Linked DNA regions of Nothobranchius furzeri. The protein of the gene in region 1 interacts with the protein of each later gene in a biochemical or structural test. Links are inferred from orthologs where the notes say so. Each region holds a gene or a part of one and is shown on either strand. Other genes may lie near its edges.

Region 1 (5,192 bases):
GGCCGAGGGGCGGCGCGTCAAACCAGAGCCGCAGCTAGCATGCGCCGGGAGATAAAGATGGTGACGTCTCTCTTCCTCATTCTGTTTCTCTTCACGGTCTGCTGGATCCCGCTTCATGTCATCAACTGCTTCCTGCTGCTCTGCCCTCGCTGCTCCGTGCCGCTGGAGCTGCTGCTCACCGCCATCATCCTGTCACACGCAAACTCCACCATCAACCCCTTCCTATACGCGTACACCATGACGGCTTTCAGGGACACGTTTAAGGACATTTTCTTGTGCTGCAGGACGATGAGCAGCAGGAATAACATCGCTGAGGAAACAAATCTCTAAACTAAACGTTTGTCATCTCACCCCTCAGATTTGACAGCAGGGAGCCTCTTCTTAAGATCGTTCTTGTCTTCGGCGCGCAGCGCGTCGAATCCCTTCAGCTGGGCGGCGGAATAATCGGGCTTAAACACCAGTTCCTCCCTGCGGCTCACGAAGCACGCCGTGTGGTACCAGCGGTCGATCAGACCCAGCTGAGGTTTCTCTGGGTCAACCGTTTTCTTGGAAACACGAATCTGATCCTGAAAGAGAAGCAAAAATACGGCAGACATGTGAAGTATTTATGACACGTGTTCAACGGTTATTGATTAAGACATTTCCTGTGCTGCGGACCTTTTCTATTTTTTGCTCGCAGCCTTTGCACGTGCTGCGGTTCGACTTGGCGTACTCCACGGCAAAGTTATTCAGAGTTTTGGCCCCTTGAGCGGCACCTTTTGAATCACTTTTCCCTGCAAGATGCAAAGGAAAATAAGTCTAAACATTTAAAAAAAATATGCATTAATAGTAAATGATAAATTAAAAACATTTAGAACAACTTGAGAAATGGCACTCTTTTGACTTTTTATGGATCACTTCACTTTTTTATCTGGCTAATAAGACAAAGTTAAACCAATTGAAAGTAGCTATCTTAAGCTCTTTTGCTTACGATCCAATCCAATTTTATTTATAAAGCGCATTCACAAGGCATTACAACCAAACAAGGCGCTGAACACAATAATTAAAGATCTACCACCGACCTGCTCCGACAGCTCCTCCAGTCTCAATAGCCTTTTTGACTTTTTGCTGGTCCTCCCAGCGAAGAGTGGAGAACCCGGCGATGTCTGCTTCAGTCTGAGCTGCCGCTCGCTGCCAGAAGCAGGAGAAGTGGTGCCAGTGTGGGACTTTCCCATCGAACATCGGGGACTGGAGGACAAAAACAAGACAATGAAGCAACAGCAAATATCAGAAAAAAAAGATGAAAAAAAAAAACAAAACCATTAAAGTGAGAATAAAGGTTTTTCTGTTTGAATTTTTCTGGTTTCTGAATTTGAATGTTGTTTTGTTGTTGGATTTCTGTGCTAGTCATGGATTGTTGTCGTTTCGTCTGACCTGCGGCCGCGTGTCTTGGACACTCGGGTGAAGAGAGGGGCGGAGCAGGCAACTGACAACTACCTGGTGGTGAGTTGGCTCAGATGGTGGGGGAGGATACCGGTCAGACCAGGCAGGCCCAAACGTATCGCGAGGGTCTGCTGGGAACGTCTGGCAGAGTCTCCTGTCAGAAGGAGCTTCAATTCCCACCTCCGACAGAACTTCCAAAATGTTCCGGGGGAGGCGGGGGACATCGAGTCTGAATGCACTCTTTTCCGTGCCTCTTTTGTTGAGGCGGCCGACCGGAGCTGTGGTCGCAGGATCGTTGGTGCCTGTCGTGGTGGCAACCCCCGAACCCGCTTGTGGACACCGGCGGTTAGGGATGCCGTCAAGCTGAAGAAAGAGTCCTAACAGGTCTTTTTGGCCTGTGGGACTCCAGAGGCAGCTGACGGGAACCCGCAGTCCTGCCTGGTGAGGTTTTCTGGGCACGTCCAACCAGGAGGAGCCCTTAAGGTAAACCCCGGACACGGTGGAGGGACTATGTCTCTCACCTGGCCAGGGAACGCCTTGGGATTTCACCAGAGAAGCTGGCCCAAGTGGCTGGGGAGAGGGAAGTCTGGGCCTCTTGACTTCGGCTACTGGCTACTACCCATCTCCGGATAAGCGGATGAAAATGGATGGATGGAATTTTTCTGGTTTTACATGACAAACGTTTTTTGTGCATTAAAAAAATTCAGATTTTACTCACGTTAAAAATAAAATCATGAATTTGTAAACAAGGGTTTTCACAATTTTGTCTTTAAAACTACAGATAATAATTCTGACTTACTTATTTAAACAAGTATAACAAATAAACATATTCACAAGAATGTCAATGTTTCATGCAGCCAGAACTAAAAAAAAATTGACATATTTTGCAGAAAATACACAACACACGGTTGGGTTTTCCAACAATAAAAACAAAAAGGAACCACTGACCTGATAATATGCATTACTGTAACTATTAAGACGTTACAAAAGAAATACTATATAGACTATATTTTGTGGCTGAAACTTTAAATGTGTGCAAGTGGTAATGAATTTTCCTTCCTTTTGCAGGGGTGAGTGCTGATCTGGACCCACAGACTGACCAATAAGCAGGAGTTTGACTCTTACATGATTATTTCTCTATTGCACAGACTGGAACAGCTGCTTGTGTGATTTTTTTTATCTATGTCTCTTGAGTGGAGGAGAGGATGGAGCAGTTGTATTCTGCAGCACACTGGATGGGTCTCAGACATTGTCCTAAGTCCCTCTGAGGCGATCCAGGCGGCTCTTTGTGAGCCAGATTCATTCAGTCAGCCATTTAAATGCTAACCGGGGGCCTCACTTAGCACAACTCAAACTCCTTTATAAACTACACTAGATTAGTTTAAAGTCTGATTATTATGGTTCTCTATATGCGCACATATGATTTAGATATCAGCACGGTTATAAAAGGCTTCATAACAGAATGGTTCCTTGGTTAAATCCCTCCAGACGTCGCTACCTCCTCACCTGCACCATGAGGGCCATCCTCAGCGAGTCCTTAGCTATGCTCTCTTTGCATTTCTTGCACGAAGCCCGGCCGCTTTTCGCGTATTCCGCCTTGTAGAGCTTGTCATCTTGGGAGTCCGCCATTGTTCCTTAATGTTGCAAACAAGCAAACAAAGCGACGTGATGAAGAGGGCAACTTTCTCCGATGCACTCTCGGAGCCACCACAACAATCACAGGCAGAGCGGCGGCTGCAGCCCGCGTGCTACTTGGAGAGGAAGCTCACGAGACGAGGTCTCACTCTGACTCCGATTTACAATCCACGTAAGTTTTAACTTTGTTTTAATGTACTTTGTGGTATATTACGTTTTAGTTTGTTTACGTTATGATTCGAGACATTATGATGATTCGTTTGGCCATTTTAAACTTCTGTGTGGTCCCCACCTGTTTGTATTTTTCTCTAATGTACCGAAAAAAATCAGGGTTGAGTTGTTACACTGTAACCACATAACAACTTTGTTTATTCTTAACGGTTCATAAAAGAGAGAAACATTTGGCCACTCTAACCCAGAGCTAGAGTAGCTCTGCCCTAACCTAAATCTCTGACGCACTGTGATTTTTATCTTGAAAGGCGCTACACACATTAACTTTTCTTCTTCTACCAAGTGGGGCATCTTAAGAGCAATATAGGATCAGTGAACTGGTTCGCAGAATTCCCGCGCGAGTTTCAGCCAGAACTAATGGAGCACAGATCAATCAGATTTTTACAAAACTAAACATGAAATTCTACATGAAGCAAAACTATTAAGTATGTTAATTATAAATATATTTACAATAGTTGCATTTGTTTATAGTTGATCACTGAGAACTAATGCGCAAACAAACAATTCCAAAGAATAGTTCTGCTTTAAGATTTTTATTTGCACAATTCACATTGAAAGTTTATGTAAAAAATAAACATACAAAATGTAAATACAATATGTGTTCATCAAATGAACTTCAGTCTTTTGAAAACAAAATTTTTAAAAACTATGACCTGATTATAAGGGCCTAGATAACAATTTGGGTTCAATAACGACAATAATAATACACTGATGGAGACTTTCATTTACTCGTCTTTACAATAATTTTTCACATAGTCATTAATTAGTAAAATTATTTCTAAAAAATCTTTGGGCTTACTAATAAATATAAAAACATCTTTAACTGTAAACAAAATTGGTGGAAAATAACTCACTAAAAACGTCAACCAGGGCTTTACAGGCCACTGAGTAAAATTCTAAGAGGTATTGTGTGTTTTGGCGTAGAGGTCTCACCTCTTGCTAGCACATTTTCTAAGCAAGCAAGAAAATGTGTTGGCTTTTCTTTAACTGGACAAAATAGCATAAACAACAACTGAAAACAGAGATTTCAGATGATGAAGTTAACCTATATTATGATGCTATAAATAGTTAATTTCCAAAGTAAGGTTTAGATGAGAAATCATAGATGATTTCACCCAAGACGGTCTCAACTCATTTAGTTTTATAGTGACAGGATGGATCAGAAGGAAAAAGGAGTTTGGCAAGACTTGATCCAACTAGCAAACCTTGAAATACATTCATGGAATGTGTCTTCTTCTTTGTGCATTGCTCAGCAAAGCAGCTTACTGGGAGTCAAAGTGAAATTCCCATTGGACTCTCTCATCCTCTCTTTGTGTCTGGCCTGGACAAGACCAAATACCACTTCTGCTAGAGTCATGCGTCCTGCTGTGCGGCCACCTGGGCGCCCATCTGTTCCGATGTTGGCTCTTTTGCTGCGCATGGTGCTGATGAAGTATGTGCGAACATTCCCCTGGCATTCACTCACCTGAACAGAAGTACAATCAAATATGGTGTTATGTTCATGGGTACTTTGAACTTAAAAAAAACAAAACAGGAAATACTACCTTAATCGTACCCATCCTTGTACATTTAGTCATAATTGAAAAAAAAAAAACCACAAAATATATGATATTTATAATAGAATTTATCAGAACTTGAACATGTGAAAGTTCAACAAACACTCACCCCTTTGATAAATATTTCTCCTCGTAGTTCCAGGACAAAGCCCCACTCTGCCAGGACCATCTGTGTGGCCTCAGGCACCTGGATACGTCCGCTCACACCTGCGCTGTCCATACGACTCGCCAGGTTCACCGTCGACCCCCAAATATCGTACTGTGGTTTGGTGGCGCCGATCACACCTGCAACCACCGGCCCATGGGCAATACCTGAAACAGTTTTAAAGTGACATTTCCGTGACACAA
Region 2 (5,093 bases), on another chromosome or scaffold:
GCTGTAGTAGTGACCTCAGTAATTGCAGCACTTATTGCATCATCGGCCTCATCATGCCAACGTTTTTATTTTTTACTTTATCAACAAAATCAAAACAAACAAGGCTGTCACCGAAAATATTTGAAATATTTCAAGCGGTTTACAAATGCGTTTCCCAGTCACTTCATGCATATACAGTGTAATGCAATCAGAAGCGTTAATGCATTTATTTTTTCCATCATTTTTGTTGCTCCCCCAGACGAATCCGTGACAGATCTAGTGGAAGATCCACAGACACTTCCGGGTGGAAGACCGGCGGTGGGTCACCGGCCTCCGGTACAGAATCAGGAAAAGCAGGGGAGCACCAGAGCCAGATGGAGAGCGCCAGAGCAGTTCTCAATTTCTGAAATAATTTATGACAACTGCTACCAATGTGGATTGTGGAATAAAAAGAGATAAACTGTTAGTTTTCTCAATATTGTCATTGCAATCGGGACAGATACCGCCATCTGCCGGCTTAAAATGGTATTGCAGTACATTTTAAACAACTTGGGAGTGAAAAGGCTGTTTTGTCACTACAACGGATTTGGGGATGTAGTTTATTGTTAATAGATATTGTGGTTTCACAACAATAAAGTTTTGTATTGTGCATATGGATTTATGAGTAGTACGAAACAATGTCTGAGTTTCTTGTTCTTTAAATTACAGTCCAATTAATCATACATGTTTGAAATATAATGCTGAAATATTAACCTCTGAACATTTTTTGTTTGTTGATGATATTTCATTTTTAATTTATTATTATTTTGCATCATGATTTATTTTATGGTGTAGTGTCATGTGGTAATTGTTGCAAATTCTAAATGTAATTTTTATTTTCCTCAACTGAGGTCATTTTTATTTGCTTTATTCTTCAGTACGTTGAATGTAGGTTACATTGTAAACTGAATGTATGTGAAAACGAAGATTGAAATAGTTTTAAAAAAGTTTAAAATGTACTGCAATAACCATTTTAAGCCGGCAGATGGCGGTATCTGTCCCGATTGCAATGACAATATTGAGAAAACTAACAGTTTATCTCTTTTTATTCCACAATCCACATTGGTAGCAGTTGTCATAAATTATTTCAGAAATTGAGAACTGCTCTGGCGCTCTCCATATGGCTCTGGTGCTCCCCTGCTTTTCCTGACTCTGTACCGGAGGCCGGTGACCCACCGCCGGTCTTCCACCCGGAAGTGTCTGTGGATCTTCCACTAGATCTGTCACGGATTCGTCTGGGGGAGCAACAAAAATGATGGAAAAAATAAATGCATTAACGCTTCTGATTGCATTACACTGTATATGCATGAAGTGACTGGGAAACGCATTTGTAAACCGCTTGAAATATTTCAAATATTTTCGGTGACAGCCTTGTTTGTTTTGATTTTGTTAATAAAGTAAAAAATAAAAACGTTGGCATGATGAGGCCGATGATGCATAAGTGCTGCAATTACTGAGGTCACTACTACAGCCGCAGGTACCGTGGCAGCAGTGGTAGGAGGCGTGGCTAGTGCCACTAAAAGTCGTGGTAGGGGGCGTGGCTAGTGCCACTAAAAGTCGGAAGTGTAATGGCAGCAGTGGTAGGGGGCGTGGCTAGTGCCACTAAAAGCCGTGGTAGGGGTCGTGGCTAGTGCCACTAAAAGTCAATAATCCAATAATACCTAGCTGCGGACATTGCCCAGGAAAAACGTTTTTCCTGGGCAATGTCCGCAGCTAGACCTTACTCCTAAAAGTCGTGGCACCACCCGGAAGTGTAATGGCAGCAGTGGTAGGGGGCGTGGCTAGTGCCACTAAAAGCCGCGGGTGCCACTAAAAGCCGTGGCACCACCCGGAAGTATCAGAGCTGCCACTGTAAGTGCCACAAGCGCTGCCGCTGCCACAAATTGCGCTCGGTCCTGCTGAACGACCGTTGGGACCTTCTATCCATGTTTTTGTTGATTGCTTTCATGTAACTTTGTTTTGGTTCCATTTACAAAGATACATTTCCAAAAACTTACAAAAAATATTTCTATGTATGAAATACTTCTTATTGTTACTAACCCTCATTTATCATCCAATGAAAAATACATAATTAACTTAATCATTATTTTAGCAAAATATTATTTACATAAAAATTTTTCAGAACAGTATCCCCTCCATCTATAATTTAAGAATTACAGACCTTATGAAATATTGGAACAGCATTGAAAAATTAAAAAAGAAGAACAACAAACTAACAAAGATCATCAACTTATTTCATCATTTCAACTTAGACACAGCAGACCCCTAAGTGTTATGTTTTTAAGTTATATATGTTTTCGTCAGTTCTTTGTTTATTTCTTGTTTGTTTGTTTAATGGTTTCCTAATGTTGCATGTGTGTTATTGCAGTTGTAAACAACTGTAAAATGTGATCCATGGATATATTGAATGTATTTTCTGAATGTATCGACAACAAGTTAATAAAACCTGTTAAAAAAACATCCGTGCTTCCTCGTCGAATTTTCCTACCAACGCGCATTTCAACAGCTGATTCAGTCTGTCCAGGTTTACTGAAAATCGGTAGCTACTGTTAATTTATTTTATGAAAAAAAGGTGGATAGTGTAAGAAGCAGTTTAGTCATTTCGTAAAAATTAACCCCTTAGTTGCTAAAATATTTGAATATTCTCAGAACAATGACGATTTACCAACTTTCACCCATGTCGAAAGTATTCATAAAAATGGAGATTTGTATTTCCTTTATTAGAAAAATTAATCTACATAGAACAAACATGCTTTTCCCCCAACAGTCAGTTATTTGTTTGAATGTATAATTTTGGAGATTATTATGCAACTATGATAAATTTATTATATGTATATGTTAAGAACTGAGATCTGCAAAAGATCATGATTTAATATTGATTTATATTACATTATTATGTTTGTGTTCTCATTTGTTTTATCTCTGTATGTATACCTTTATCTTTGTATGTTTATATTGTAAATACTTATGGGTTATCTTTTGTTAACTAATGTCATGTGGTTTAATTCAACCAATGAGATCGCTGTCAGTGACGCATAAGAGATGACGTGACAGAAGAAACCGGTGTTCCCTGATTGAGAAGCTAAGCAGTGATGAGGCTGTATTTCCTCCATCAGCACGATTGATGACTCTGCTAACAGTAGAATATAAAACTTTTGGATGTTAATTTGGGACTCTTTCAGAATGACTGTAAACAATGGGAGAAATTTCTTGTTTACAGTATAATAACGACATTTTAGAAGGCATTTACAAGCAAACTGTCAGGTAAACATACAGCAAACAGTAATTTAACAAAACAACTTAAAGAAATACTTACTGTGACCTTCGAAGAGTTGAAAGTAACTAGATAAGTGACGAGATTAAACGCAAACTTCCACAGGTAGCGGTCTCGACTTGTAAACAGCCTGTGACGCAATAGGCGCATGCGCATTTCCCCAAAGTAGCATTACGACGGGGAGCACGGATTGTCGCAACACCAGCTGTCAGACATCTGCCGCAGGTAAGAGCCTCTGATTAAACCAGTGAAAACCTTTTTACCGCCATCTCCAATTTCAGCCTGAAACCGACTCGTTCAGAACCGAGCTGTTTGAATAACCGGGGCGGAGGCTGGAGGTTGGTTCCGCTCTCAAACCCGAACTCAAGTGTGTTTACTGGCCTGCTCCATGCAACGAGCTCCGGTTCTGTGTTGAGTTCGTGTTTAGCGGTGATTTTTGGTTATTTATCACAGACTAATGACTCAAATCGGTGTTCTGTTCAAGAATGATTTGGCAGTCTGGGTCAGATTCAGATTATTATCACGTGTAGAAGTAAGTAGTATGTTGTGTTTTATCCAAAGCGTCTTACAATTTATAACCTGTAGGGCGTGTTGTGATGTGTGTACCCGGAGGAAACCCACGCATGCATGGGGAGAACACGCAACTCCACGCAGAAAGGCTGCAGCCGAGTTTCGACCCTGTGACCTTTGTGCTGTGAGGCAACAGTGCTAACCACTGCGTCACCATGCAGCCTCAAGTAGTGCGTGTATGAATGAAGTATTCTGCTTCTGGTGAGGATGTTCCGGTTCTAGGAGAAGGACTGGACTGAGGTCCACTCAGGAAAATGGAACCGCTTCCTCAAAGTTCCTGGAACCGAAACTAAACTTAAGTTTTGTCTTAATTCAGGATTTTTAGTCAAAACTGTAAGAAGATATAGACAAAAGAGAGGATTTAATTAGAGGGGAAGAAAAAACATTAAATTTTATGTGAAAACATAAAAATAACTGAAAACTGTTTAAATAAAATTTTATTAATTTGGTAAAATTCATCAAACATAAATTTAAAATGTCAGAAACTAAACCTGTTTTATTTGTTATTGAATTGGAAAACAGCTGATTAAATGTCCTGGTGGGACTGGGACTGTTATTCCTAATGGGTTCTGAACTTGTGCTGACCCTGATTCTTGTTTCTGGTTTTGTTTCAGAGAGAACTTCTCGTGCGTTGCTGCTGCTGCTGCTGCTGCTGCTGCTGCTGCTGCTGCTGCTCTGGACTATTGCAGTAATATGCAGCATGACCCTGCCAGGAGGTCGTCCGTGTCCCTGCTCTGTGGACGAAGAGCCTCCCCGAAAGCCTTTGACGACTCTCAGAACTTTGCTGAAGCATTGCCGATGGAGATGAGCGTGAGGATCTTCGGAGAGCTGGATGCAGAGAGCCTCTGCAGCGCCTCACGGACCTGCAGACTGTGGCGGGACATCATCGAGCAGAGCGAGCAGCTGTGGAGGCGGCAGTGTCTGCTGGTGCGGGCGGTCTGTCAGAGGGAGGTGGACAAAGACCGGGGGGACGGCTTCTCCTGGAAGGTGGGTCTCCTCGCCCTCCCTCATATCCAAACTAAACATCTCTGCTGCTGATCAGCTGAGAGGTTCCTGTTCAGTGTTGCCGCTGTAGACCCAGACCCAGATCACGGTACCAACACTTACCAGGTGTTTTCTGTCCCGCCTCTTGTCTCAGGTAACTCTGGTGAGAAACTACACCCGGAGCTGTGCGAAGAGAGACTGGCTGAGAGGCCGATACAGCAGCGTGAGCTCAGCCGACGAGCTGCTG
Region 3 (5,048 bases), on another chromosome or scaffold:
ACACACACACACACACACACACACACACACACACACACACACACACACACACACACACACACACACACACACACACACACACACACACACACACACACACACACACACACACACACACACACACACACACACTTACTCACTTACTTACTTACTTACTTATATGTGATGATTTCAAAGCTTTGACTTTTAACAGGCAGTTTTAAGATCAGTTCCTTCTTTTTGTCCATGACATGTGACATGCATGTTTTGGGTGAAAGCTGGGTGGACCAAATCCACCTGAGAGGATTTAGCTTTTTAATAAATTCAGTTTAAAATCAAAAGTGAATGATTCTGTTCTTACAGACCTTTATTTGACAACTTGTCTTTTCAGTGCTGCGTTCAGGAATCTGGCTCGGTGAGGCGCTCATGAAGGCGCGGCCCTAAAGCAGACCCTGCCAGGTCACGCTGGAATTTTCCAGCCCCCGATCAGGTTTTCCCACAATGCACTGGGTCACCATACAGTACTGCAGCTCCCACAATGCTTCTGGCAGTTGTTGACAGATAGGTGGATAGATATGTAGCTTTCCTTTTGTCACATGTTTCCAATCTCATAGATCTTTACTTAAAACATGAAACTGATTTTGTTTATTTCATGTTTATGTAAACATTCGTGCATCTGCCTCAGCATCTTTGACCTGGCTCTGGCACCACTGGACCTGTTTGCTTCAGCTCATCTTTTGTTGAATGTTTTTGCTTCATTTGTGACAGCAGGAAGCTGTGAAAGTTTGCGTGGCTGATGTCATTGATGCATTTGTTGATTTGACTTCAAATAAAATCTGAATGTTGAAACTTTTATGTTGACCTGTTTGAGCCATCTGTTCCTTGGTCAATACAAGATGTTTGTTTTACTCTGACAAATCCTCCTTCTGGTTAAGAACCATATTGTCAATGCCTTCTGATACAAAATTAAATCATAAATGATTTTAATCATCTCAGAATAAATTTTTTGATCACACCAAAATGTTTCAGTGGTCTGATCAGAGTTTTTCTGGACAAGCTCTTCAAATAAAACTTGTTGAAAGTTTAAAAAAAAATGCATATGTTCAAATGCGTTTTGACTATGGTTGTAAACAGTGATGGTTTAGATCTGGACCCCATGTGGTTCAGATGTAAATTCAAGGTGGTTTGTGAGGAAAATATAATCAGTATTTTCTGCTGTTGAGTTTACCATTTTAGGTTCAAAATAGATCTGGTGAGTATTTCTAATAATTTTAAATATTTTTGTATGATGGAGAACTTTGACGCAAATCACACTTCATTTTAAAAATATTATATGCAAAATTTACTGATATTATTTTTACTTTATTGATAACATTATTTTTGTAACAGAACCTTAGTCAGAGTGATTGTAAGTTTAGTCCTGGAATAGTTCTATCATGTTGGAGGCTTGATTTTGGCATCAATAAAATCAGTTTCAAACTGAACCATTAAATTTGTGTACTGCATTGATTATTCAAGAAAATGGAATTGGAGATAAATATATTACTATCAAATAATATGATTTTCTTAAATTTGTTTTAACACATTTTTAACGTCGCAGTTCCATCTGAACTTTGCAGGGGGCGCTAGTGAGCTCACCGTTAGAGTACAACTTCCGGTTGTAACCGCAGAAGGCGCAGAAAGTAAAAGCTAACATTACAATCGTTCGTTTCGGTGTTCTGGGGCAGAAGTAGATTTTCTTGGACCGCGAATTCTCCGTTTGAGGTGAGACGTGTCACGTTCGAGCCGAACACATGAAAACACCTGGTGGTGAGTGAGAGAAGCTAACTGCTAACCAGTTGTGAGAGAAGCTAACTGCTAACCAGTTGTCTCTGGTCGTGATGGTAAAACGAAACTCCATCCGTTTAGATTTTGGACCGAAGCCACCTGTTTTTGTTATTTTAGTGACACATTGACTTCCTTGAAGAACACTTTGAAATTAATTGCGCTTAAATGAATACGCCTGTAAACAAATACCATCCTCAGTACTGTAGATTTAGATGGAAGTACTGTAGATTTAGATGGAAGGTATCAGGTGTGAGGAGTTTCTACTAAGGTGTAAAGATACTAGTGAGACCAGCCATGTCTGCTTTAGAGACAGCGTCCACAAGGTAAAGACAGGAAGTAGAGTTAGAGGTTGCGCAGCTTAAGAAGAAAGGGGCAGCTTATTGTGGTGACAGAGGTGGTATGGGTGTGCTGGTACTAAACAGAATGTTAAGTTAAAAGATTAAAACAATGCCATCTTGGGAATTTCACCCAAGGAAAATAAAATGGTACCTTTAGGCGCACATAGGTTCAATGCTCTCACAAAGGCGACAGAAACGAGGTGTACGCAAAGTCCACAATTTTATTTCGTGTTTTGTTAAAAGGACAGCAGTTTAAACTACTAATTTAAAAATAGAAAGGGAGAATTAAAACAAGGAAAGAAAATAATTAGTGTTACCAGGCTGGAGCTTACCAAGGTAAGGTGGACCCACTGGAGGTTCTAGCAACAACACAAACTAAATACCAATAGTCACCCAAAGCACCAGTGAACAGTCACACAGATGTGAAGGGGGGCCCACACCAACTCGCACACGGAAGAACCACCGCCACCACCCTTGGCTCCAGCCTGGACAAATAAAAGTTAAAAACCACAATAAAATAAACTCTGTTGAAATACAATAGTGCTCCAAAATCCTCATGCGTCAGAGGTGAGAAAAGGTCTCCCTTTCCACTCCAACCAACATGCTGGGCGGGAGAACGTCTGGCGGAGGAGCACCAGCACTGGTTAAAATCCTCGGTTATGCTCTGAGTTTACATGCAGCCAATATCCGGGTTATGATCGGGTTAAGGTCGGTATTCGGGTTTCTGAGTTGATCAGAATAACCCGTTTACAAGCATAATAAATAGAAAGAGTTACCCCTAACTTGCATAACCCGATTTAAATGCGGACGTTGGGGTAGCGTCAGGACGTATGGACTACGTCAAGACGCAATATGCGTCATATTTCGCTGTCTCTGTACTTTCGGCTGTCAACAAAAGACATAATGTTCATACTTTTCACCAGACCGATGAAGACAGGTTTCCTCGTCACTCCAAAAGTGTGGTGCTGTGCCGCGACTCGCCATGTTGCTCCCATCTTGTTTACTTCCAGTGTTCTGGCGCATACAAGACGTCTCGCTTCTCAAAAGACCAAGATCCCTTGCGAACAGAGCATGCGCAGAACACACGCTTTGAAGGGGATATCCCGATATGTGTTTACACGACCAAACATTCGGGTTAGAAAAGGGTTACCCCAGGTGTAGTAACCGGGTTTTTAAAAACCCGGTTATGAGCATATCCGGGCTTTTGGCGGTGTTTACATGGCCGTGCGGAACCGGGTTATTGTGAATATTCGGGTTTTAAAAGGGTTACTGGCTGCATGTAAACGTACAGTGAGCGGTGGCCCAAACTGCTCCCGATAGGTCGGTCCGCTCTGTCGAACCGCTCCTCGGTTGTTGAGGGAGAGAGGGGAGGGGGGTCACAGCAGTGACTCAAAACACTTTGTCGTAGCATCACAACACCTCGGGTCCTAAACAAAAAAGGTAATAAACCTTATTAACCCAGAAAAGAATATTCATACTGAGCGTGCAGGGAGGGGGCGCACCGCACATACATACCACGCCGACAGCAGTAGATCACCTAGAAGGCAAGCACGCTTCTTTTCCAACAGCATGCGGTAACGTTACATTATGTTAGATGTTTTGGAGTCAGAGAGGACAGACTGAGTTGGTTTGGATATGTCCAGATGAGAGACAATGATTACATAGGTAGGAAGATGATGAGGTTAGAGTTAGGGGTAGACCGATATTGCTCATGTAACGGGTATTACAATTAAATAATATGAAATAGGTATTGAACTATTGTCTTGACAACTCTGGACCAGTATCAAAAGTTCTAGGTAAGATTATGGAGCCTTGAAAGGATCAGCAGAGAAGGAACCACACAATGACAGATAAGATATGATTTAAATAGAAACTGTATTGAAAAGGTGTAAAGTTTACAAACCCTGCCTGTCTAAGCCGGCTTCCTACAGTGCACAAACGCACATTAAAGGACTCAAAATAAAACCAAAACCCTCTTTGAGGAAATTCTCCAAAGAGTTTCAATTAAAGAGCTTCCACTCCTGTTGCTCAGTCCACTTCTCTTTGGAAAGAGAAATTAGTTTGTGTGTGTGCGTTTCTGTCCAGTGGATCTAACACTACCCGGGTAGATTTTTTAAAAGTGTCAGTCTTATCTGTGTCAAGGGATGTAGTGATAGTCCTGGGGTTCGCTGAAGATGGATCCCACGGCTGGCCACACCGTACTCTGGTCCGTCTACAGTCACTCTCTTGGAACTGGCTCGCCACTGAACCCACAAGGTTCAGATCTCAAATGATCCGGTCCTGGTCAAAAAACCAATCGGAGCTCGTGGTGAGATAGCTCGCCTGGCTGACGCAGCTTCCCACGCCCATATTTCACAGAATTCAGATCCAGGATCTTTCAGTTAATCTGGCGGTTGCCTCGTGAGTAACGGCTTTCACAACAGGAAGTGCTGACTAACAGGAAGTCATCTCAAGGCATACTCGCCTCCTAGTGGCGGAGAGGGAAATTACACCTCCAACCTTATGCCGCAGCACAAACCACAATTCTGATGTGGGTTACACTCTCCCCTCCTGAACTCTTGCACGTCCCTGTGCATGACAAGGTTCACACAAATGTCTCTTGGGGGTAAAGGCAAGAGTAGAAGCATGTGCTTCACCTTCATTTACCATGTCATTCCACGCATCGGTCAACCCTTGGAAGAAGGACTTTACCACGGTGACAATTGGTTTCCCCAATTCAGTGTAGTCGAGCCTCATCGGTGGTTGGCGATCCCGCTCAGCCCTCCTAACATGGGTATCAGTGTCGGCTTGTTCCTCTACTTCACCATCCTCCTCCTGTCCTTCAGTTCTAGGATCATTCATCACATCCTCCAACGCTTCTGGGAGGACAGGGATCTCTTTAGGTTGGTCCTCACTTAAGTCCTT

What was found. The genes of interacting proteins can lie anywhere in the genome.
Region 2: the proteins of parp1 (region 1) and aplf form a complex in vitro, tested with the Homo sapiens proteins (3 studies listed by BioGRID and IntAct, with this or other methods). The link is inferred for Nothobranchius furzeri from reciprocal best matches to the Homo sapiens genes PARP1 and APLF.
Region 3: the proteins of parp1 (region 1) and rnf4 form a complex in vitro, tested with the Homo sapiens proteins (2 studies listed by BioGRID and IntAct, with this or other methods). The link is inferred for Nothobranchius furzeri from reciprocal best matches to the Homo sapiens genes PARP1 and RNF4.

What each region holds. Positions count from the first base shown.
Region 1 is NC_091742.1:4,978,928-4,984,119, reverse strand, and holds the start of parp1 (poly [ADP-ribose] polymerase 1), read right to left. Parts: upstream 3,176-5,192; 5' UTR 3,052-3,175; coding exon 2,929-3,051; intron 1,228-2,928; coding exon 1,062-1,227; intron 774-1,061; coding exon 658-773; intron 567-657; coding exon 352-566; intron 346-351; exon of another isoform or gene 331-345; coding exon of another isoform or gene 1-330. Other genes in the region: adorb1a (adenosine A2c receptor), read left to right, coding at 1-330; si:dkey-206f10.1 (adenylate cyclase type 8), read right to left, coding at 4,538-4,753, 4,954-5,156. UniProt on the Homo sapiens protein: Poly-ADP-ribosyltransferase that mediates poly-ADP-ribosylation of proteins and plays a key role in DNA repair.
Region 2 is NC_091746.1:29,719,261-29,724,353, reverse strand, and holds the start of aplf (aprataxin and PNK-like factor), read right to left. Parts: upstream 3,452-5,093; 5' UTR 3,335-3,451; intron 1-3,334. Other genes in the region: fbxo48 (F-box only protein 48), read left to right, coding at 4,556-4,849, 5,001-5,093. UniProt on the Homo sapiens protein: Histone chaperone involved in single-strand and double-strand DNA break repair.
Region 3 is NC_091741.1:64,324,993-64,330,040, forward strand, and holds the start of rnf4 (E3 ubiquitin-protein ligase RNF4), read left to right. Parts: upstream 1-1,597; 5' UTR 1,598-1,743; exon of another isoform or gene 1,744-1,788; intron 1,789-5,048. UniProt on the Homo sapiens protein: E3 ubiquitin-protein ligase which binds polysumoylated chains covalently attached to proteins and mediates 'Lys-6'-, 'Lys-11'-, 'Lys-48'- and 'Lys-63'-linked polyubiquitination of those substrates and their subsequent targeting to the proteasome for degradation.